Drosophila melanogaster: one gene and its partners. The protein of the gene in region 3 interacts with the protein of the main gene of each other region in a pairwise test. Each region holds a gene or a part of one and is shown on either strand. Other genes may lie near its edges.

Region 1 (6,132 bases), on a different chromosome or scaffold from region 3:
AAGAAAGACGCCAGGGCGGGCAAGCAACTAGGATAATCGATCGCAATGGCCTTGGTTACTAGTTGGTGATGTCAGTGGCGACGGAAATGGAAGTCCTGGCCACGCACTTGACCCAGTTCGGGAAAATCGCTTTTCTAGTCCCTCCAGAAGCGGCCGAATGGAAAGCGGGCGGAAGAACCATGCATAAAGCTATTGATTTTCCCTCATTTCCCAAGCAATTAAGGCCTTTGCCTTTAACCCAGTTACACGTACATATATCCATATGTACATAAGAACATACAAATGTCGGCATCTACATAATCGCAATGGTCCTTGGGCGGGTGCGAAAGTGGATAAACGGGAGAACCCTTGAGAGCGGGTGGGAGTTGGGCTAAGGACGTCGCCTGACACTTGCAGGATTCAGATTCAGATCTAGCCGCCTGCCGCCCTCCCTTTCGGGAAATGGAAGCTTGTGAAACGTGCAACAACCTACGCCACAGCATCACAAGTTGAGGAAAACCAGGGAAAATCCGCAGGAAAACCGAAAAGGAGTAGGGCAAGTCTGGCGCTCGGTGGTGGCGCTCGCTTCTTCCCAATTACCACCCCCGAATCAACGACATGTTATTTTGCCGAGTCCTTTTTTTGCTTTTTACCGACGCAGAAAAAAAGACGCATCAGCAGCACCAACAACAACAGCCGACGTCGCGGCGAAAAGAGCGAACAAACATTTGCCAAAAACAACACGTACACCGGACGAAAACGCACGTCGACCTGTTCACTTCCCTACAAAAACAGAGTTGCGAAACATCCCAAGTGGTAACGTCAATCCTTTTGTTGCAATGAGTGCAAAACAATTTTTAAAACAATTGTATTTATTGACTATTTTACTTATTTTTATTATTATTTTTTAAGTGCATTGTCAGTTGGAATTTCAATGTTCCCATTATTTATAGAAGTTGACCCAGCAAATGTTTCAATTTACGCGCGATTATGCTTTTTAATATGACTGACATAAATCAAATCTGTATAAATGCAAGATATGAAAATTATTAATTTCAAAAGCATTCCCAAGGGAAAAGTAAAAAATTAAAAGTTTAATTAGTCAGGACAAAGCTATCCGAATGCAACTTCTTTGAACTCATGATGGCGACGAGGAATACATCCTGGCGACGGCAGGACAGGCAGCCCTCCCCGCCGCCCACAAGCAGGGTTGCATGCACGCCAAGCCAAATCCGAAAGCAAATCGGGGCCGATAGTGCATAATATCGTGCGGCGAAGAGCGAGACGAAGAGTCGTGGCGAGTTGTGGCGAATTGAGGTTTTGCGCCGTCGGGCCGAGCGTCGCTCTTTTGCTCTTCATCTTGGCTCGTTATTTCGCTTCGCACCGTGTTTGCGTTCACAACTCTTGTTCGGGTTCTGCATTTTATTTTATTATTATTTTTTTTTGTTTGTTGCTATTCGGTGAGTACCTGCGGAAAAGTAAGGCAAGGCGATGAATGAAAGGAACAAAAAGGAAAAGAAAACGAAATGAAAAGCCATGCAAAGGGTTTTCCTCGTCAACTCGCTTGTTTGTGTTTTGTGTGCAAAGTGCCTGGTGAAAAGATGTACTCGCCGTACTGCCAAATGAGAAAACGGCAGGCGTTCGTTTATTAATGCTCGCGTTCGTATTTTTGCGAAAACCTGGTGAAAAAGAAATTTTCTGTGCTCGCTACTGCCTGTGAGTGTGTGTGAGTGAGTGTGCGTGTGCCTGTGCGCTGCTCGTGTCTGTGTGCGCTCGCTTTGGGTGTGCATGTACGTCACTGCCACCCATTTTTGTGTGCTGTTCTGGTTCTTCGTCCCGTCTCGTGTCGCCTCGCTGTTCCCTCCTAGCCGTCCCTTGCGGTTTTTGCTGCAACTCTGCGGAAACTCTCCACGAATTCCCCCCTTGCCTAGCGCACGAAGAGGATGGCAGCTCTGCCAATTCTTTGGTAACTTTTCCGCCTAGTGAAAACTGCTGCCAGTTTCCGTTCGCTTCAGGTACTCCGCTTCTTCCGTTCCGTCCAACTGACTGTCTGCCCGTGTTTACAATCGCGGCGTTTTTGCACACTGTGCCGTGCGTCTGTGTGAGTTCTACTTGGTGGTATATCTGTGTACATGTACACACATCGATACGACAGCGGAGTCTTCATTTTGTTATTGCCATTCTCTTTCACTTCCTTTTCGCCTGCTTTGTTGCTGTCGTCGCTGTGACAGTTATGCTAGTTGTTAGTGTGCGTGTCGTGTCCGTGTGAGTTTTCCGCGTTTCTTCGCCGGTGCGAACTGCAATCTGAAATCTCGCACTCGCGCTAAAATGGCGCATGTCAGAATCGAAATTAAAATCATAAGCCAAAAGCTACTCTGATCGTCAGGCCACGAAGAAGCGGAGAAAGAAGATGAAGAAGGAGGACCAGCAAGCGGCAACAGCAGAAGCAGGATACCTAACCAATTTGAGGATTATTCAACATCTCATCGACTCTTCAGCTTCTCTTCTCAGCCTTGCCCAGTTGCTGCTTCTTCCGACTCTGCTCTTCTCTCCTCTACACGCCACTCGTCTCCTCTGCTCTTTTCTCGTTTTGCTTTCCTCGCATTCTCGCAGCTCCCAGCTGCTGCCAAAACTTGTTTTCAGCAGCGATAGAAAAGAGGGGCAATGGAGCTGGACAGTGGCTGGCAAGGAGAAGAGGGGGTTTCTGGAAACCGCAAAAGCATGTTTAATGTTCTAGTCGCGTTACTGGACTCCGAATCGGAATCGAGTGAACGGATCGGATCGGATTGTCCTGGGGATTGAATGAGCTAAAAGGGGCTAAGAGAGCGGCTTACTTTCGGCCAGGTGAAAGCCAGGGCCATAAAACTAAGTTTACCACATTACCGCTTAGGATTTCGCTTCGGCTCAGATTAGCTGTTATACTGAAGTTTGGAGATTAAAGTCCTTTGATAATATTCTTTTAGTTGGATTGAATCGACTTAATAGTTGATTAGTTTGGAGAAAACACAACAATGTTGAGTTACAACTAAAAATTTGATTTATCTAAGTGAGCATATACATTATGACTTAGCAATCCAAAGGCTTATCAAAGTTTTCAATGCTTATCAGGGATTTTACAGGTGGGATGGGATTTCCATTCACTTAACAAGTTTGAATTTAGAAGATAACGAAAATATTTTGGTCTTCCAGAACGATTTTATAAGAGCATTATAATTAAAGTTGAAAGGATGCAAAAGAAACCCAGAATGGCGTTTCTTTTTGTTTTTTAAATCTAGTGCAGAATTTAACCTACTTCTGGGTTGAGCTGTTTTTGCTTTGCCAATTAGAACGTTATTCCCACATGGCGGATTAGTAATACGACTTAGTAACTTTCTTTTTCCCCTTCTTCGCGTCCTTGCAGATATTCTTCACATCACAGTCAACCAATGGGACCAAATCACTGCGACTCGAACTGGACACAATCAGCATCGGATCGCAGGGAACAACAGGAGGTGGTGGAGCAGCAGCGCCAGAAGGCGTCGGGGGAGCGGCCATCATAGGAGCAGCAACGTCGGCAGCAGCTGCCCAGGGCCCCTCGAGAATGTCTAGCCGGAAGGTGCCAGGAGGCTCTGGAGGAGCTGACGAATCCACAGCAGCAGCTGCCCCCCTGGATGATAATGCCAATGCCAGTGTGGAGATTCCAGACAGCAGCGAGGAGCCAGCAATGGGCGTCGGCGAAGAGATGTCTATCATAAGCAAAACACGCACCTCAACTTTGTCAGTGGAGCCCGCTAAGGAGCCAACAGTAACAGCAGAGCTGGAAGGCGAAAAAGAGCTGGAATCGAATCCAGTCTCCAAAACTCCTAGGTCCACGCCTACGCCAACCCTTACGCCAGCCGTCACGCCTACCGCCAGTGATGGAGTGGCGGCCAAGAGCGTGAGGGTTACCCGGCACTCGTCGCCACTGCTTCTGATCATCTCGCCCACGACAAGTAGACGTGAGGTCGGCGACGGAGAGCTAGACACCGAGGAACCAACGGGATCGGGTGGCCAAAGAAAGAGCTCCGTGGAGCGATCTTTGGCGCCCGTTATACGCGGACGAAAGTCCATCAAGGATCTGAAAGAAGCCAAAGAAGTCAAGTCCGAGGAGCCGCCTGCCGCAGCATCAGAGTCACGAGCTGCAAGTGGAGTGACGCCTGGCCAGGTCAAGGAACAGCATGTCGCGGATGGCAACGAAATGGAATCCTTGCCAATCACAGACAAGAAAGACCACAAAGACACAAAAGACAAGGGAGATGAGCGGGAAACCGATCAGGAGGAAGAGAAGGAAAAATCAGCTGATACAGAAATAATTGCAGATACAGAAAAAACTTCGGAGAAACAAAAGTATACAGAGAAGGACAAAGCTGCCGATAAAGATGGAGGAAAAGAAAAAGATATTGATGCAAATAAGGATATAGATAAGGAGAAGGAAAAGGTCAAGGAAGTACTTCCGCCAGTGGTGCCTATAGCACCAGTGACACCCACTTGTAACCGTGTCACACGTAAATCACATGCCCAGGAGCAGGCGATTAACACGCGGGTCACTCGCAATCGTCGCCAGTCCTCTACAGTTGGAGCCAACTCCACCGCGTCTTTGGTAGCTGCATCCTCCTCAGTAACAGAGCAACCCCCTCCATCTCGCGGTCGACGGAAGAAGCCAGTGGTGGTGGCTCCTCCCTTGGAGCCTGCGGTAAAACGGAAGCGATCGCAAGATGTTGAAGCCGACTCAGACGCCAACAACAGCACGAAATACAGCAAGGTGGAAGTGGTAAAGTCTGAGGAAGCTGAGGCACCAGAGGAGGACTCCAGTGCCGTGCCCATTAAGCAGGAATCTGTTGATGGCAACGAGGTCAGTTCTATTTCTCCAACAGTCACGCCCACACCCACACCTGCGCCAACACCAGCTCCAGTCCCGGGCAGTCGACGGGGTCGTGGGCGCCCGCAGAACAGGAACTCCTCTTCGCCTGCAACCACAACGCGGGCAACGCGGCTAAGCAAGGCGGGATCACCGGTTATCCTGACGCCAGTAGCCCAGGAACCGGCGCCACCGAAACGGCGGCGAGTCGGCTCCAGCACACGGAAGACTGTCTCGGCCAGCTCGCTGGCACCCAGCTCGCAGGGCGGCGCCGGGGATGAGGACTCCAAGGACAGTATGGCCTCGTCCATGGACGACCTGCTGATGGCCGCAGCAGATATCAAGCAGGAGAAGCTGACGCCCGATTTCGACGATAGTTTGATGCCAGAAGGCCTGCCCTCTACTTCTGGTGCGTCGAGTGCCAATGGTCATTCCTGCACCGAACCGCTTACTGTGGACACGGAAATTAATGTTAAGCCCGCTGATTCCAAAGTAAAACCAAAGGAGTCACCGGTGGTAGCAGTCGAGGAATCTCCATCACAATCCGAAACGCAATCTGCAAAGGTGTCAGCGCATGCGGGGAAGGCTCCATCTCTTAGTCCAGATATGATAAGTGAAGGCGTGAGCGCGGTCAGTGTTCGAAAGTTTTATAAGAAGCCTGAGTTCCTGGAAAACAATCTGGGCATTGAAAAGGATCCGGAGCTAGGTGAAATCGTTCAGACGGTTAGTAACAATGACACGGAAACAGATGTGGAGATGGCTGTTGATGGCGAGGTGAATCAACCGTCAACTCCCAAGTCGCAGGATAAAAAGAAAGAGGAGCAGGAAAAGAATCAGAAATCAGGGCTAAAGGCAGCAAAGAAGGCTCCTGCTAAGTTAGAACCTAAAGCTGAAGACATTTCTGAAATTCTTACTGACGTTCCTGTTGATATTTCGACTGAGGCAGTAGAAATTATAGAAGAAGCAGAGGAAGACACTTGTTCAAATAGCTCAATCAAACCAGGTGAGCTCCGACTGGACGAGAGCAACGATGAACCTGAACTGCTTCTTGAAGACGCCCTCATAGTCAATGGTGATGAGAATGAGACACCAGATCAACCGGAGGAAAAGGAGGACCAGGTGGAGTTCTTCCATACAGGAGAATACGACGACTTTGAGCACGAGATTATGGTGGAGCTGGCGAAGGAGGGGGTGCTAGATGCCAGCGGCAATGCATTAAGTCAGCAAAAGGTAGAACTTGAGCATCCCGAGGATGTAACTCTACACGAATCAAAAAA
Region 2 (7,766 bases), 1.6 Mb from region 3:
GAGGAGTTCTCAAAACGTCAGAGCCACACTGAATAAAAATGAGCACTATTTTTAATCGGTTTTTGTTTGTCATGTTTTTTTAAATTTATATTTATATTGAAAATTAATTAAATAAAATTGTTTTATCGTTTGTTCTTCGTGTTCCGTCATTAAAGAGGTTGGATGGCTTCTAGATCGTGATATTATTCATACCCAGCGAAATATCCAATTTTGTATGTACTTATTTACGTTTACGTTTTTTAGTGTCCCAATCTAGATCTTTTGTTCATTCACTTGTTTACACACGTCAATCGGCATTATCTGATATCTGTGGTGCGGCTCAGTTCTTCAGTTTGGGAGCCGTCCCGGATGAGTCAATGAGTATTATACTCGTATCATGATTAGCTCTCCGACTGTTGGAATACTGGACTATTCGATAGGGAGAGACCATCCAATCTTAGTAAGTGCGCTCAATGTCAGGTCGAACATCTCCCCATATCACTTATCGATGAGCTGGGAATGGGGTCGCGGTCGCTTGGCGGCCTAGACTGTAACATTGAATTGCCAGCGCCGACTTACCACTCCGAGAATTCCGGCCCAAGCTGCTACCGTTTTAAGGGAGCCAAAGTGCTTGATTTTTGCCGCTGGTGCTGAATACATTTTGCAGTGACTGTTCGATATATAGGGGTGGTTTCCAGATACTGGGAGATATTCTCACGCCCCGTATGCGGGACTCAAATCGATCGGGTTGAGTGCGCTTTTGCAGTACGCGACGTCTGTTGGCCAACTGAACGATCGAGCCGGACAATTGAGTTCGCCACCCGTTTACTATATTTCCCGATAAACCTTGCGATAATGGCTCTTATAACAAAAAGCCAACTGGCCAGGGGCTTTTATTTTTTATGTTTCGCTTCGATCGAGGCGGTATCCGCTCGCTTTTCGTTTCGTTCGTTAACTGAATTCTGTGGTTTGGCTGGAACGTTTATCAGGTCGTATGTTATATTATCGCTACTGATAAGAGAGCCCCCTTCCCTTCAACTTTCCTTTGGCTAAAAGATATACCTAAATCGAATAGGTAAAACTGGAATTTCGGAATCTTATCGGTCCTATGTATTAGCACATTAGTGATGTTGGCCTTTATCACTGCGTAAATGCAAGTATTTAATGCTTACCTCACAGGTTGGGTATGCCAAATATTTACGAGGAGAATATTTGTGAATTTAAAGTGGGCGGGCAAAGGCGCCCTCTACTGTCTACAAAACGCACTGTTAATTTTGACATTGCATGATAGGAATGACGCTGAGCCTTTTTTCAAGACAAAATGTGCTAATTATTTACCTTTTACAAATACAAGCACAACAAGTAAGTATTTATTTGTATTTAACCACTCAGCAATCGCAATAAGAAAAATAAATGCTTTATTATTTCAAGTAAATAATTACGTTATCGTAATGAACGGCAACGCTGTGAGATTTTCTCTGTCTGACCATGGTTGACCTCCCAGGCAGCCGCCATTTCCGTGGCGTGCGAGTGAAACGACTAGCCCATGTTTTCCCGCCGTGCCAGGGCAGCGAGCATGCTAAAGAGCGAGACGACCATACGCGTCCGTCGAGAACTGCTACAGCACATACGCATTTTTAACCCTAAAAAATACAGCACCGAGTCTTTAGTACAGTCAAAGTGACGCCGCGACAACTCAGAACGAAACCGAAAATTAAAAACGGAAGAGATTGTTGTTCCTGGTGTCCAAAAAAGATAGATTGTTTCGTTCGAGTGGCTCATCCGTACCCGATCGATACATAAATCCCAGCAAGCTGCCAAACCGGAGTGCAGAAGTGTAGTTTGTCGTAATCGCCGATTAATATTGAAAGGTAGCGGCTTGCAGTTGCGCGTGTAGCGCCCGCACAAACCGAATAACACCATCACTACGGCGTGCTCACCTGAATCCAAAACGCCACGAAATGAACAACCAACTGAATCCGGCCACCTACCGCAAGTTTAACAATCTGCTCAGTAGCGGAGCGGTCACTGTGACCGGTCCCAGCCAGCCGCGAATCCTCAAGTCGACGCGTATGGTGGTACCCGGTGGTGGCGGAGGAGGAGGTGCCTCTGCCGGAGGAGCCTCAGCCGTTGGCGGCGTAGCACAGCAGCAGGCGGTCAACGATGCAGAGTCGGGTGGCGTGGGTATCGGCGGATTAGCCACGCGATGCTATATCTGCGATGACCGCTGCGAGCCACAGACTTCGCTAACCGATATGTGCACCACGCACACTTCCACCAAATTCCCCAACAAACTGGCCCAGCTCGTGGGCGAGGGTTTCCTCGTGATTGTTTGCGGCGAGGATTACGTGTGCTCACGCTGTACCAACCTGGTGAACTACTACGACCGCCTGGAAAACGATGTGGAGCGCGTCAAGACGAACCTCATCAGTTTGCTTAACAAGAAGTATGCCATTAACGAGGATATGGGCCAGGAAGGCAGTCCGCCGCTCAAGATGCAGAAAATGGTCGGCGGATCCGCCAATCGCTCGTTGGAGGAGAGTCCTAGTGCGGATTTGCTGCGTCCACGTAAACTCCTGCAGGGAAACCCAGGTAAGTACATAAATACAGAAATTATAAAGCTTTCCTAATGCATATTCTGCAATCGTACAGTTGGCCAGTCCAAGATCGCCCCAGGAACCACCCAGAGCAGCGTCCAAGGCACCCAGACAGTCCAACGCAAGGCCACCAAGATTTATAAATGCACCTCGTGTGACTATAAAACCTCGGATATGCGGCTGTTCAACACGCATTATGAAACCTGCAAGCAGCAGACCTTCCAGTGCAAGACCTGCCGCAAAATCTTCCCGCACTTTGGGGCCATGAAGCAGCACATGGTGCGCGACCACAATACCGCCATGGATAACACGTGTGCCATGTGTCACATTAACTTCGTGAACGAGAACAGCCTGCGCAAGCACATGGAGACGAATCACGCTACCAATGTACTGGTGACCAGCACCACCACCATACCGGCATCAGCTGCTCCCGTGGCTGCTGCTGCAGCTGCCGCTGCAGCTGCTGCCAACGAGAATCTGGTTGGAACATCGCTATACACATGCAATCATTGCCAGTTCAAGTCAACGGACAAGGTCGTTTTTGATGAGCATATGCGCAAGCATGCCGCTGGTAAACCTAAGCCTTTTAAGTGCCGCCTGTGCTCTCAGCGCTTTGAGACGCGCGAAGCTGCTACTGTGCATGCCAAACAGCATCAGACCAACTTCTTCAAGTGCGGCACTTGTTCGATGACCTTCCCGAAACGGGAGATGCTTGTTAAGCACTTCGAAGTGCATCAGAGTCCTTCCGCATCGACGGTATCGCCCAAGCAGTCAGTTAGCCAGAACCTGAACACCCAGAAGCTCCTTCAAGAGACCATTGATGAGGCACTGAGCGATAGCCTGCCTGCTTCGACAGCTGCTGTGGTGGCAACCACCGAGTCGGAGAACAACATACGCTTCTTCTCGTGCAGCATTTGCTCACTGACTTTCATCCAGGAGACATACTACAACCACCACATGGAGACCCACAGACGTGACAAGAAGGCAACTTCGGCCGGAGCCACTGCCCTAAATTCGGCAGCTACGGCTTTACTAAGCGATGAGCCCGGAGAGGCAACTGGTAAGGCCGGTGACGAGAGCGGCGAGCAAAACGCAGAGGCCGACATTGAGAGCCTGTTTGAAAAGCTCCACTCCGACAAGAACGAGAGCGGTGAGGCGCCCAAACCGGGAAGCAAAGGCGGCGAGATGGTTATTACCTCGCAGGAGGGCAGTGGAGGCATAACCTTCAACATTACTATCCCGCAACCGGACGGAGACCAATCGCAAAAGGATTCGCCCAATACCACAGCACCTGTCTCTGTTAGCATTGACATGCCAAATTTGGATCAAGCCGAAGACGAATCACAGTCCCAGGGCAGCATCGATGCCAAGGGCGAAAGCGGCGAGGCCTCCTCTGCCGATAGCAAATCCAATGCCGCACCGGTTTCCATGCCCAGTTTAGATGATGACAACGAGGCTGCAGCTGCTGAAGCTGAGGCCTCAGAGGAAACCAAGACGGCTAGCAAAGCAGGTCAAGAGAAAGCCAAGGCCAAGGCTGGAGAAAGCGCCAAGTCAAAGGAAGCCGCCGCTGCTGAGGAACCACAACCATCTGACGAAGGAGACGTAGTTGCTAAGCGTGAGGCTACAGATACGCCCACAACTGAGTCGGAGGCCAATGCCACGACCGCTGAAGCCGGTGAATCTGGCGAAGGCGAGGTTACTGCCAGTACTGGAGCCGAGGGCGAGGCGGGTGAAGCTGCAGGTGGCGAGCATGTTGCCATGGAACTTGACGAAGCCATGCAGGCACAGGTGGAAGGTGGCCAGATCAAGTTCATTGTTAACGAGAACGGCCATCTCCTCCAGCTGGACAACCACATCCTGACGGACGCCGAAGGCAACCAAATAATTGTGCAAGATCCCGAGCAAATACAGCAGCTGCTCCAAAGTGTAGGAGTTCTGCAGTCCGGCGAGGGACTTGAGGGCGAAACCCTCCAGATGATGACCGATGGCAGTGGCCAGATGGTACTTGTCCATGGTGACAACAATGAACAGCAGCTTATCGATGCCTCCCTGTTGAACTCCGAGGGGCAGTTAATTATCCAGCAGGGACAGGATGGTGAGGAAGGCGCTCATGTCATTAGCGAGGATGGTACCCGCATCCCAGTGTCCGTGTCGTACACGGAAGATGGCCAGCCCATCGTCCAGGTTCAGCAACAGGTCCTGGAGGCCGCACAGCAGGCAGCCAGCGCTTCCGGAGGTGCAGATGACAAGGAGGCGGCTGCCGACTCGGCCGGCGAGGAAGTGCAAGTGTCGGAGGCATCTAGTGGCACGGCATCCACCACCGTTGTTGCCACGAGCACGGCCAGCAGCACTGGTGGCCCCTCCGGCGGCAGCTTTTTTGCCCTGGAGGAGTTTACGGAGACAAAGACCGACTAGGATTGGCCCTAGGGGCGTGGTCATGACCACTATACCATACTGGCATGCGAAGAGGACTGGTAAGTTAAAGGAATCACCAGCGTGAACTGGGATATTCATACTTTTTCGTTTGTTTTAGGTTTTAGCTGTGGGCACGCTCAAGATCTCTGGAGGACTTTTGCACACCCCAATTTGAAACCCACTCCCTGACACCCACAACCGAACCAACTTTACAGACAACTGAACACGAAGACAGAAAAATACACACACGAACCTTTTCAATATATATTTACATTTAGTATATGTATTAAACACTCCAGTAAACTAAAAGAAAGATTTCTTATTACCCAAGCAAAGGAAAAAAACTAATTCAATAAATCAAATTGTTCATTCGGTCCGTTTCGCACTAGGCTGCCAGGGATCTCAAGCCAGATCTCTTTGGTTGCCTCTTAAATATCGTATCTAGGTTTAGTAATAGTATAGACAAAACTGCAAGATGAAAGCGACAAAAAATGTATAAACATAGAGTTTATGTGAGAAACTTGGAATATAATAAATGTATGTATTTACAAGATAACTCAACAATTACACTAAATAAATCGATTTAAACACAAACATTTGATGAAAATTAAGTTCCGAAATCGGCACAAATCAATTCAGAAATAGTGATGCTTCCTAACACCTAGTGATCCCCGTAAAATGTAAGGATAGGTGAACAATCCCGCTTTCCACTTCCATAAACTCCAGATTCACACCCAAAACAAACAAACACAGGCCGCAAACACGCCCAAATATATGCATGCACGTATATATGTCAAGCAACTTGAAATATATAATTGTAAAGAAACGAACATCGGTTTCAAGTTCCTTTATACTCTGTGAGCGATCTTTGGAATTTGGTATGCATGTAAATCAATTCAGATAAGTTAATTAAACGCGCTGATGGCAACTGTGTTCCAATGAATACAGATGACACAGAAGGCAGTCCCAAAGTTTACATATTGTCAGTATGGATCCAACCATTCATTTCTCAAGTCAGTAAGTTCGTTGACCTTTAAAATGGATTAGTCGGTTATGAATGATATTTTCGAAGTATGCATACCAGCGAAACTTTCGACTCGTTCTTAATTGCCCAACACCTGTTGGCGGCGGATGAGGTCGACTATATTTAAATGTTCAGGTAGTTGATTAATAAGATTTAATACTAAGTTGGATACTAAACTGCCAGCGGTGGCATTAAAGCATTTGGACTGTCATGAAGGCCTTATGAATGCCCCGTTCCGATCCATAAATCAGTGAATGTTGTGATTCTGAAAACAGCAACCGGATTGGCACGTGGATGCGGTTTTGGAGGAACTAATGATTATTTCATAGTTATGAATACAAAAATAGGACGCGTACAAATTGGTGATCTGCGCCTGCGGGTTGTTTGTCATTTATATAATGGATTTGTTGAAAGGAAGATAAGATAAACGAACTCGCCATGAATAATTTATATTCGAATACGCTTCAATGGAAGGGAGTTGTTCTAGCAACTAACTCATTCACTTACACGGTGAACTTTTGGCGATGGGCGCGGTAATCTTTTCGAGGCCGGAACCAAATTGGGGATTTAGTTTGAGCCGACAGCATCAATCAGCAACTTGTTGCGGTTCGGTGACATTAAACGGTGTCAACTCCACTTGGCTTGCTAGTCTGTCGGTTACATTAAGTCGCTCTTCGAGAGTCGGTCAATATTATGCAACGGCCTTAATTAGGCGCCCACATGCAAATGAGCGACGGCAGGCGCAATCTTCTCGCCGATTGCCGCATCGAAAAGCGAAAGTCGTTCTTAAAGACAAGGTCGCACTTTGTATCGGATCAGATTGGATCGGATGGGTATGACAGATTTATAGCGAAGCTCACAGATCTAGGGTGCGCTGATGAAAGCTGACATTTCGGTGCGCTTGATTCGCTGGTCATTAGCATAGAAAACATGACTTCGACTAGTTTTGCGGTCCATAAATCTTAAGCTTTAAAAAGAGCATTTAAAAGAAGCATTCTTAGCATATTTCATAATTATAGTTGCCGGTTTCAACACGCTCTCGATAAACTAAGTAAGACTAAAATTGCGTTTCACTTATAAGACATAAGCATTAAAACTGGATTTGATTCGTTTTGCACTCCATGAGTCTTAGCTTTCTTTGAGACAATAGTTCTTAAAAAAGTTTTCTATTATTACCAAGAAATAAGATATTATTACAATTACATTAAATTAAAGCGTTACATTTTATTCATTCTTTTCTTCTGCATCTATTAAATAATTTTTTTAATTTTTATATTTTTATTTTTACCGATTTCTTTACCGATTTCCTTATTTGCATGTCAGTAAGCATAACCCCTATGGGTTTTTTAAATTGAATTCCACAAACATGCTTATCATATTTTAGCCAGTTTCACCATTGCAGTACTCGTATAATGTACGGATTTTGATTGCAATTTATTGAACATAGTTCCTGCATTTAGGCAAACTTTCCGGACTCCAGGAACGCAGATCAATTAAGTCTAGCACTTTATTTATAATTCTAGAATATATATTGACTTGCTGTAGATTTTGGCATGCTTTTGTTGTTCTCTTCTGGTCCGATTTGCATGGAAAAACAATTAACATAAATACGAAATAAAAATATTCCGAAGTGTAACGACGATATTCAGCCAGCCCATCGACAGCTATTTAGAAGTCAATATATAATTTTTTTAATGTCCTGTTTTTTTACCAACGTCTGGACCGAATCTCATCCACCGGTGGATGCGTGC
Region 3 (10,217 bases):
TCTGAAGGTCAAGTTCTTAGTTAACGAATTCTATGACAGACTTTAGAACCAATAGTAACAAAGAAATAGAAATTGTATACCTTAAAACACATATGGGCTTATAAATGATCGCGAATGTTAGACTCAAGCGCTAATAATATGTGGATCCAATTCGGACAGTTTATAAAATATCTTTTATTTCATCGCCATTGCTTGTTCGCTATTCAAGAGATATATGGAGTTATATAAAATTACTACGAGTACGTCTTGTTCCGCTGGGAATTATAAAGTTACAATGTATAACAGTATATAAAGTATTTACATTCTTGATTACCGATCTAGCCATACATAGCCGTACATATCTTAAAGCCCGCACGGCTCGCTTTGTTGATTTTTTATCCTATTGCATTTTGCCGCAAGTTACATACCATTTGAACCTATTATTTACAAGCTACATTTAGACCAATTTATATATACAAATTAAAAGCTTTTATTTATGTTTTATTATCTATTATTGATGCCATTTGCTCGCATCTTTTAGAAACCGCATAAAGAATTTGTATTGTAACTCTAAAATCAAAAAGCATAAGTCTAATAGTTATCTTTTTAAAAAAATTTAGAAACTTTAAAAACAACCAATTATTAATAACAATAACACAATATATGTACATACATTTTTGATTTTTATGGTAGACCTTCGGAATGCTTATGAATCTTCAATTAAATGTTGAACTTTATAAGGTAATAGACAGTTGTGGCGGTTTAGCTGGCCTCTAACTGGTTTAATACTAGTTTAAAGCAGCGTCATTGATCTTCATAAATTGTTTATGGTGTCACAGAGCAGTATATCCACGTCACATCGGTCTCCCACTGAACAAAAGTTCTGGCTCTTCAAAATTCACAACACCAACGCGGGTTAACATCTATAAAGCTAAAGTTCCAACGAGAACACCTGTGGGTGCCGAGAGCTTTTGGATTGAATCGCAACTAAACCCGACCGAATGCGGCAAACGCTGATGATGAACTCAAGCGAGCTCTAGACAAAAGTGCGCCAAGTTCGCATGAAGCGGCACAGAGAGCCTATGACCAAGTAATTAGCAATACAATTGAGAGGGTCTCACACAACGGCCATAATAATGCTACGCTCGCCTTCACAATTATTAAGCATAAAACCAGATTTTAATTGATACAACTCATAACCACCGTTTCGAAACGAACTGTATTTTGTTTGCCCCAAATGCGTAGTTATGTGGAAGTTCGAAATATCTATCTATAGAAAGTCAGTTACATCCCACACTGGCCGCGCTGCTTTGAGGGCCCTGGGTGTGCATCAACCTGGTCAGACTTGGAACTTTGCTGGTAAACCAGACCGTCTACGCCGGGAATGGTGTTGCATCCCACGCAGGCGTGCAATGTGTCGTGAATGAAGATGTCGCAGTCAACGCAGAAGAACTGCTTGCAGAAACCGCATCTGAAGACGACTTTATCGGCGACCTTGTCAACGCCTTGCCCAAGAGCTTTGGCGCAGCCGTAACATTCCCTGACATCGCTGGTGAGGTCGGATGACGAAGCAGGCATCGCCTCAAACGGCAGTTCCTCAAAATTTGGCACCGGGAAAAGGTGGTGGTAGGAACGCGCCAAGTGCGGCGCGGAGACCAGGGTGAGGCCGCAAGACTGGCACTCCACGGGCAGCTCGCAGTACTTGCTGTTGCATTGCGGGCAGTGGTGGCCAGTAGTGGTCAGTTCACTGGGCTCCTCCAAGTTCTCTATGTGGCACATGCACATGGACAATGGCGCGTCCTTGCCCTCAACTTCATTCTTTGTGTGCGGGAAGCCCATGCGAATAAGCGAGTTGTGCTGAGTCTTAGCGGCGGGCGGTGGATCTACCTGAGACATGAGTTGATCCCGAAAATGTGCATCATCCAAAACAGCCCCGAAGGTGCCCATTGTTTGCTGAGTGAGGTAGCGGGCCACGTGAATCTCAGCGGACAGGGAAATAACCGAGCAGCGTATGCCCTCCTTTTTTAACTCGTCGATGGTGAGGTTAATATCGACAGGATCACATGTGGTGAGCGAGCCCATGATAATGACGATCTCTCGGGAGGCGTGCGACGGCACCACCTTAAGCGATTTTAGGGCCAGATCTAGGCCATTTTGCAGCGAAGGCTCGCTGGTCAAGGACACGTTAGCCAAGCTAAACAAAAAGGGGATATAAATGGAGAACGCTGGTTTGATTCGGTTCTTACCTCTCTAGCGCTTTGAGGTGCACGCGCGAAGTGCCGGTAAGTTCGGTCACCTTCTCCGCTCGCTTAGCTTTTAGCGCTATGAGTCCTAATTGGCTGATGGGGTTCTGATCGAAGAACTCCTCGATAAACAGCTCCAGCAGCTTGACGGTGCACCGCAGTCGTGTGGGTTTCAAATCAGGCACGCTCATGGACTCAGAGCAATCGAGCACAACGAACATGTGGCGCATCATGCCCAGGCGGTTCTGCTTGGACTTTTGAGCCTGCCTCTGGCGTTTGGCCTTCTGAATGATCTCTGCAATGGCTCCATCCAGCATCCCATCCTCGTCGTCCTTGATGGCCTCCCTAATAGGATTAAAAGTAAGTGCGGGCTTACATTGTCACGCACACCATCGCACCATGTCTTTTCATAGCCCGTTTCCCAGCGGTACTCCTTCTGGTCCTCTTGCTCATCGTCGGCCATACTTGCAGTCCTGATGCACTACCAAGTCAAATCAAGAAAGAAAAGCAATTAACGCTAAATAAAATGCGCCGGCTAATGTAACAGTGTGTACACACAGGGCCTACGTTAAATACAATACACTGGGTGGCAACCCTGGGTAAGTATTTATATCAATAAATATCTACAAAAGAATGACATAATAAAATGAAATAATAAAAAATAATTTCGAATTTCTTACCTAATATGAACAAAAAAAGTACAATATTATTATTATTGCGCCCAAAGTTGCCACATCAATAAATATACCCACCACGACGCGTAATTGGCTAACTAAGTGCACCGCCACACGGGCGAACTGAAAAGGGCGCTACACCCTAAGTTTGGGCACTTAAAACCGTGCAAGCATTGAAACCCGCGTTTTATATCATATACTATATTCGAAAAAACCTTCGAAATCTTAAAATTTACTGGACTGCAGTTAGTTTAAAGCTATCGACAGGCAATACACTCCCAGTAATATTAGGATTTAAATAGCTTAGCACAGAAGAGCATTCTAAGGTCCGCACAGCCGGAACCAAATCATCTCTGGACAATTTCCGTGCAGCCGAATTTCGCTTTTGGCATTCAGAGTTCGCGCGTACAACTGTGAGCAGCAGTGGAGCTGCTCGTGTTGAAAAATCGGGAGTCAGTTAAATTAAAATAACCGTTTGAAACAACATTCAGTTTGATATTTATCCAAAATTGTTTATGAAGGTGTGTACCAAAGTGTTCTAGAGAAATCTTTTAATTTAATGATATGTGGAATAGGCTTATTTGCAATCATACCTGGCCTATATCTAGTGCCTGCAAGGTTTAGCGGGCAAAATGAAATTGTGAACTTTGATATTATTTAAACTATATGTAATCCTTTTTTTTAAATGAAAACAAATAGGATCGAACCATAGGGTTTTATTTATTTTAATTTTTAGCTGTGTTGAAGTTCAAATGCATTTGTAACAGATAAGTTTAAGTAACTAATAAAGTCGCATTACGCATAGTTCGTGCTTTTCTGTGTTTTATTATATTATATATCTACAACAGTGCGGCAGGCTCGTTCTTTTCATAATGTACTTAGTGTTTTTTTTCGGCTGCCTAAGCGCCGCTGCATTTTGCCCATTGCAGATGTACATATGCTTGAACTCACCATATCGGACACACACCGCAGACAGCGACCGTTCGCGTTGCCACCTGGTTCAAGTTAGCACAAACACACCACGGCACTGTACTTTTTCTTCGCCGTTTACCAATATTTCAAAACCAAGCAATAACAAATAATAAGACTCCATTCAGCACTATTTTTAAGTCACACTTTAAATGCTCTCTTCAAAGGCTTGGGCGCTGGAGTCGTGAATAATGTTGGCACAGGAGATTTCACCTACGGAAATCGGCAAACACGCAAACATTATAAGAGGTGAGTGACTAAAAACATTGGTAAATAATTTTTATTGTTAATTTTGTGTTCTGCCCTGCAGCTGCACAGGAGGAATTGGCAAACATGGACGTTCTTGTATGTGGACGATGTCTCCGGGCCTACAACTTCGTGGAAGAGTTTCAGGCCCACAAAGAGGACGCCTGCGAAAAGGAAAATGCAAATTTGAAGGAATCGCTCGATCCCAAGCCCACCATCTGGGCTTTTACGCTATGGAAAGCTACTCAGCTGCACTCGCGCAAGGACGCGTCCGGCAGCTCGTGGGCCTTGTACCAGCATTGGGTAAAACTAGACGATAGCGTCCGCGAGCCGTGGATTGTGGCTGGGAAGACCATACAGTCATTCGGCAAAATTGCACACGGACAACTCCAGGACATGCCTGTGCGAATAACAAAGACTGTGGTCAATCCAAACAATAACAACACATCAAATAGCAACAACAACAACACGAGCGTCTCCCCTACCAGAAGTAATACAAAACATTCTAAATAAAAGTCACACTTGTTATTAAACTATATTTAAATCAACAGAATCACCAACCGGTAAGCTGCCTACGTTAGCCAATCAACTAAAGGATACAGAAAACGAAAGACCCAAGTCCAAGCCGAGTACACCAACGCCTTCCTCAGTTCCCTCTGCCGGAGCCGTGAAGCCGAACAACCGCATAGCCATTAGGATCGATTCCAAGACAGATCAGCGCACCGAAGAGCCAGTGGAAAAGATTGTCGCTAAGCGCTTCAATCCGCGCCGTAAGACCCACGAGTATTTGGTTAAGTGGGTTGATCGCTCGCATCATGAAAACACCTGGGAGGTGATGGCCAATCTCGAGCGTGTGCCATACTTTTTGCAGATGTTCGAAAAGCAATTGGCACGCCAAAAACTTACTAGGGAGAAGGGTCTGGATGCTCTGAAGCGCATGCAGTCATCAGGGACAAACGCAAAGTCAGATACTGCCGCCCCACACAGCCCACTTCCGGCGTCGTCGCAGGTATCGCCGTCTTCTCGGCCATCTCGAACTTCCAAGACCAAGGCTATGGATGCCTTTAAGCAGTGGGTCAATGAAACCGTTGCCGGAGATGGATCCTCCTCGCCTTCCTCGGCAAACGAAGATGAATCCTCCACGGAACAGGAATGGCCACCATCTTCTGGAGCGATCAAGCGAAAGCTGAACAATACAGACTCAAGTTTAGAGGGGAGCGGGTTAAACGACTCGATGGACCTAGAGGACCTTGAAGAGGATCTTCCGTCCCATACCGTGAAGCGTCTAAAAAACGGAGGAAGCTCCGTGCAGTTGAACAAGCCACGGATTCAGTCCACGGAAAAGCAGCAGACTAAAATTAACGGCAATTCCACCGTGGTATCGCCCCTAACGGAACAAAAAATGGGTGAAATCATCTATACTGAGGATAGCACGAGCTCCGGCATGTTTCGCAAGCCCGAGATGCCAAACACAATAAATTTGGTATTACGAAATAATGCTATTTCTACGCAGCAGCCAATTAATAACAATGATCTTAATTCGTTGCAGAAAAAGGAGAAACCAGAGTGTCCCGTGCGGTATCTTTCGCGCTCCGAGGTGGGCAGCAGCACAAGAGGCGTTTTTCGGGTTGAAAATTCCGAGGCACCGGCACCCGTTTCGCCTGCACCCGTTCCGCAAAAAGTGATCGCTGCGCCGCCCGCCGCAGGCATAGCCAAGCGTTTGCCAATGGCTCGTCCTGCGCATTCGGGCGCTAACTCGCCCATCACTGTGGGCCAGCGACAACACGCGCTTCGAACTCCCGGCCACGGCCCTGTAACAGCAGCACTTCATCGCCGTCCTGGAGTGGGTGGTGCATCCCATGTGCGTCAAAACTTGCAGCAGGCGCCCGGCCGGGCTCACCCGGGTGGTCGAGTCCTTGCACGAGCCGGTGTCGGAACTCCGCAACATCGCCAACAAGTACAAACTCCTCAGGGTGCCAAGGCAGTTACGCCAGAGCAAAAGATTTTACAGCTGTCAAAGTCAGGGGACTTGAAAGTTACGCGTAAAGTAGTGACCCGGGAAGAGTTGTTGGCTCAGCGCTCTGCCCAGGCACGCCAGCGACAGGCTCTGTCTCAGCAGCAGTCCAGTCAACAACAGAAAGCGACTCCTGCCCGGCAAAGAATAGTTTCCAAGTCAACAATCCAGCCAACGCCCCTGCAAATGGAATTGGAGGAGGAGATTCATCAGCACCAAGCTCAGTTGTGTCCAATCACCGGCAAGCTTATTGGTCAGGAGGAGACCCAACTGCAAATGGAGCAGGAGCAACAGCAGGAGCAACAACGAGAGCAGCTAGAAGCCGCGGCACAGGCCCTTCTGGGCAGCGATCAACAAGTTCTTACCAACGAGGACGGCTCGGCCTTGCTGGTGCGAGGAGAGGACGGCACTGTTTACCAGGTAGCGGGAAAAAATGCGGAGGGACAAACTATTCTCGTTACGCAGGGCCCGGATGGAGAACAGCAATTTGCGTACGTGGCAGCCGCAGAGGGAGAAGACCAGGATGTTCTTTCTCTGGACCACGCAGTGGCCGAAGCCGTTCAAGCCGGTGAACAGGTCGAGTCTCACGGCGTCGGAGCAGCTACGGCGGACGGTGAACAGATTCTCGTGTCCATGACAGAAGAGGAGTTGGCGCAACACCAGGTGCTTCAACAAGCGGAGGCTTCTGCCGCTGGAACGGGAACGCCACCCACAGCTCAGATCCATATCACGACGTCAGACAGCGATGGCACGGAATCCCAGATACCAGCGGAGGTGGTACAGGCAGATTTGCCTTCACCGGGTAAGTCGTGTTTTTCATAAAAATTTGACAAGGCCAGCTTCTTGTGTTGGCTTTTATATCCGTTACTCGTAGAGTAATAATAAAAGTTCATAACAGGTAGAAGGAAGCTTTTTGAAGATATAAAGTATATATTTTCTATTTATAATCAGGATCAATAAGCGAGCAGATCTAGCGTTGTCTGTCTGTATGAACGTAGAGAACTGAATGATTAAGCAGGGATATATATTCGCAGCGCAAGTGCGTTTGTTTCTCGAGGGGTAGATACTATCAGATGATAGTCGATAGCATTTTCTTGCTTTTCTTCTTGCAGAACTATACATTGGGTAGCTTTTTTATAAATCGGAATTGCATAGAAAATTATAGCAATATTTAGGGGATTATTCTTCAAAAACTAACTACTTGTTCATTTTCTGTTTTTTTTCAGGAGGTACACGTCGCGTTGTTTTGTTGCTTCAGGATGGAACCTTCATGATGACTGAGATGCACGAAGATCAGTTTAAGACGCTCAACATCCCAACGTAAAATCATGTTAATAGTATCCGTACATATAATTAGGCTTAGTTCTTAAGACTATTATATTGAAAGAACCTGACGTTGGTGGGTTCTTCCCATTTCCACTTTTGTTTGGTCCTAGCCAATCCATTCTCTTGGCCATAAGTATGCACCAGCACTGACTGAGAGCCGTGTTTGGCGAGTAGTGAATATTATTCTGGCGAAAGCATACCGGGAACCAGAACGCTAAACGTCTAGCGAAACAATAATGCTGCGCCGGGGAAACAAAAGGCATCGAACGATGAAATAAATTATGCGAATACCTTATTTAAAACATTATTTTATCGTGGGAGTCAAGCAGTTTTACGATAATTATCACTGCAGTCAAGGTGAGAGATTCCGCCAGCGTTAAAAGCCTTCATCGATGTTCTCATCATATTTAGTAATTTCCTCAAGCACAAACAAAACATGCATTTATCGGGGTCCCATCAATGATTGGTAATATTTTTGACTTCCTTTTAACTTACAACTCGTAAAATCATTAAGTAAATCTTTGTCGTAGAAAGTTTTAAAGTTCCCGAAATGCATAATTTTGCTTTTAACAAGAATCGTTAAATAACAATGACGGACTTAGATTTAAGTAAAATTACATTAGTTATGAATTGTAAATTATTTAAGTTCTTTTTAACTCGAAAACAAAAAGATAACATTATGTATCTCCATTAAGATAGCACAAGCAGCTATGGGAGAGCAAAGCCTAAATGTTATCAGACTGCATTTTTCAAATGCTTTTCTAAGCGTAGGGTTGAAATTTTCTTGATCAAATACCACTAGCGTAGGTCTCACTTATATCACTCATAAGCCGGCTTACTTTTGCAAATCAAAACGAATGTTTAAATTATCGAGCCCAATAAACAAAAAATTTCAGTGAAGTTGAATTTATTTATATTTTCTGAAACTTCGCAATAAAAAAGCCCACAGTGTCCGCATTTGCTCCGCTTGGACCGAAGCGCTGCAACAGACGAGATTTACATGCCTCGAAACCGGGAAGCGGAAGTCCGGGACCGCCCCACCGGGGAGTGGCATCTGTTAGCCGCAGCTCGACAAATTTTCTTAGTGCCCAGGCCACAAGACATTCGCACTCATCCTCGGTGACGGTGCACGTGCTATATACAAGGATGCCGCCAGGACGAACGAGCTGCACTGCCTGTTCAAATAGCCGGCGCTGAATATGGGGATATGAGGACAAGACCTTAACCTGTTTAATGCTGCAGGACAACTGTGGCCGGTTGCCCAGCCCACTGCAGGGTGCATCGAGCAAGATTCGGTCAAAGCTTTCACATGGAAACGGAGGCCCAGTGAATTCTCCCACGGGTGCAGATGGAGCGTCCGCTGCCACTGCCTCGGTGGAGTTAAAAACATGCGCCGTTATGCTTTTGTAGTGTCCCAATTTGGGCAGCATGCTGCGGACGCGACTGGCCGAATTGTCTAGGGCCACCACAGATCCCCGATCGCCCATCAACTCGGCTATGTGGCTTGTTTTGTTACCCGGAGCGGCACACATGTCCAGTATGCGCTCGCCGGGCTGCGGATCCAGGACACGGACGCAAACAATAGAAGGCAGGTTTTGCAACAGGCCGTCTTCGCTGCTTAGATCCCCCAGCGTGGGCACTCCGCTGACGTTGGACTGCATTTCCACGGCCACTCCAGAGGCGGGCTTCTCCGCGTTGTTGAACAGCTGATACCGCTGCATTAACACCTTGCCTGTACCCAGGAAAACCTTATTTGGGCTTTCGTACCGCTTGACCGTCCCGCGCTTGCATTTTCCATCCAGATCTGCGTAGACATTGACGAGTTCCTCCCGCTCAGTGTTTGACTCCATAGCTAAAACACCGGGGGCGTATATGTGGGCGCCTCGCAGTAGTGCAGCTCCGCAGTTAGTGTCAACCACTACCTCCTTGAGCTCGGAGTCGGCCACAGCTTTGGTGAGCTGTGAGTCCAGCGGATCAATGCACAACATCTCGGGTAGGTTTGGCAAGCAGTAAATCCTTGGAGATTTTACACCGTAGCGAATGGCGAGTTTTTCTTCTAACTTTTTCCGAAAGTCGTCAACGGAACACCTAAGAGTGTTCACCCTGTAAGTGGTGACTTTGGGAGTAAGGCACAGCCATTCCAACAGCGGAGCAAGTGCAGCAGACTTGACAAAACCAGGAATTAACAGTTAATAAAATTTGCAAGCCAGTTTTTGTTGTAAATACGTATTTGTGCACATTGAAAGTACATACATTCACTTTAAGGATATCGGCTTCCAGCAACGGGTTCACCAAAAATGGTGTTTTTGGGTAAAACATATTAACATTTAACTTAGTTCAAATCACCTGGATAGTGAACTTTATCGAGTGAGCATTGTGCGACAATGATGAATCGATTAATCCAAATCGTTGGCAACTCTAGCCGAGGTGGCGGAGAAGAGACGTGGCAGCATTTCCCGAGTTTTCACCACGGGACTACACAACATCGGCATCCCGCTCTAGCTCATGCGCTGCGCCCATCTCTATCGGCAACGTTTATGTTGGTGAGTTTGCAGTTTTTTCAACAGCAAGTGTATTCTCGGTCAAGTTTTATTTTGCTCTGTGATTTTAGACATTTCCAAGCAGAAGTTTTTAAAATTTCCGCTCCTAGCCGTGTGCATTTGATTCAATTAGTTGGTGCGTATGCGTTTTCAGTCGAAAAAGGGGGTGGTATGTCAAGGCAGAGATACTTTTCTTGATTTTAAGAAGTTCCGCAGTAATGTAGAT

Evidence for each region. The genes of interacting proteins can lie anywhere in the genome.
Region 1: the proteins of Chro (region 3) and east interact in a two-hybrid assay, tested with the Drosophila melanogaster proteins (one study listed by BioGRID).
Region 2: the proteins of Chro (region 3) and pzg interact in a two-hybrid assay, tested with the Drosophila melanogaster proteins (2 studies listed by BioGRID).

The regions. Positions count from the first base shown.
Region 1 is NC_004354.4:2,010,963-2,017,094, forward strand, and holds the start of east (enhanced adult sensory threshold), read left to right. Parts: upstream 1-1,680; 5' UTR 1,681-1,695; intron 1,696-2,158; exon of another isoform or gene 2,159-2,823; intron 2,824-3,379; 5' UTR 3,380-3,559; coding exon 3,560-6,132.
Region 2 is NT_037436.4:21,284,497-21,292,262, forward strand, and holds pzg (putzig), read left to right. Parts: upstream 1-1,602; 5' UTR 1,603-1,940; coding exon 1,941-2,571; intron 2,572-2,631; coding exon 2,632-4,991; 3' UTR 4,992-5,050; intron 5,051-5,109; 3' UTR 5,110-5,814; downstream 5,815-7,766. Other genes in the region: CG12974 (uncharacterized protein), read right to left, coding at 559-639; Cpr78Ca (cuticular protein 78Ca), read right to left, coding at 7,723-7,766.
Region 3 is NT_037436.4:22,871,834-22,882,050, reverse strand, and holds Chro (chromator), read left to right. Parts: upstream 1-3,066; 5' UTR 3,067-3,417; intron 3,418-3,825; exon of another isoform or gene 3,826-4,032; 5' UTR 4,033-4,056; coding exon 4,057-4,114; intron 4,115-4,175; coding exon 4,176-4,601; intron 4,602-4,662; coding exon 4,663-5,594; intron 5,595-5,660; coding exon 5,661-6,927; intron 6,928-7,351; coding exon 7,352-7,449; 3' UTR 7,450-8,349; downstream 8,350-10,217. Other genes in the region: Ssl1 (suppressor of stem-loop mutation), read right to left, coding at 1,264-2,173, 2,226-2,567, 2,621-2,685; CG11109 (uncharacterized protein), read right to left, coding at 8,363-9,616, 9,705-9,770.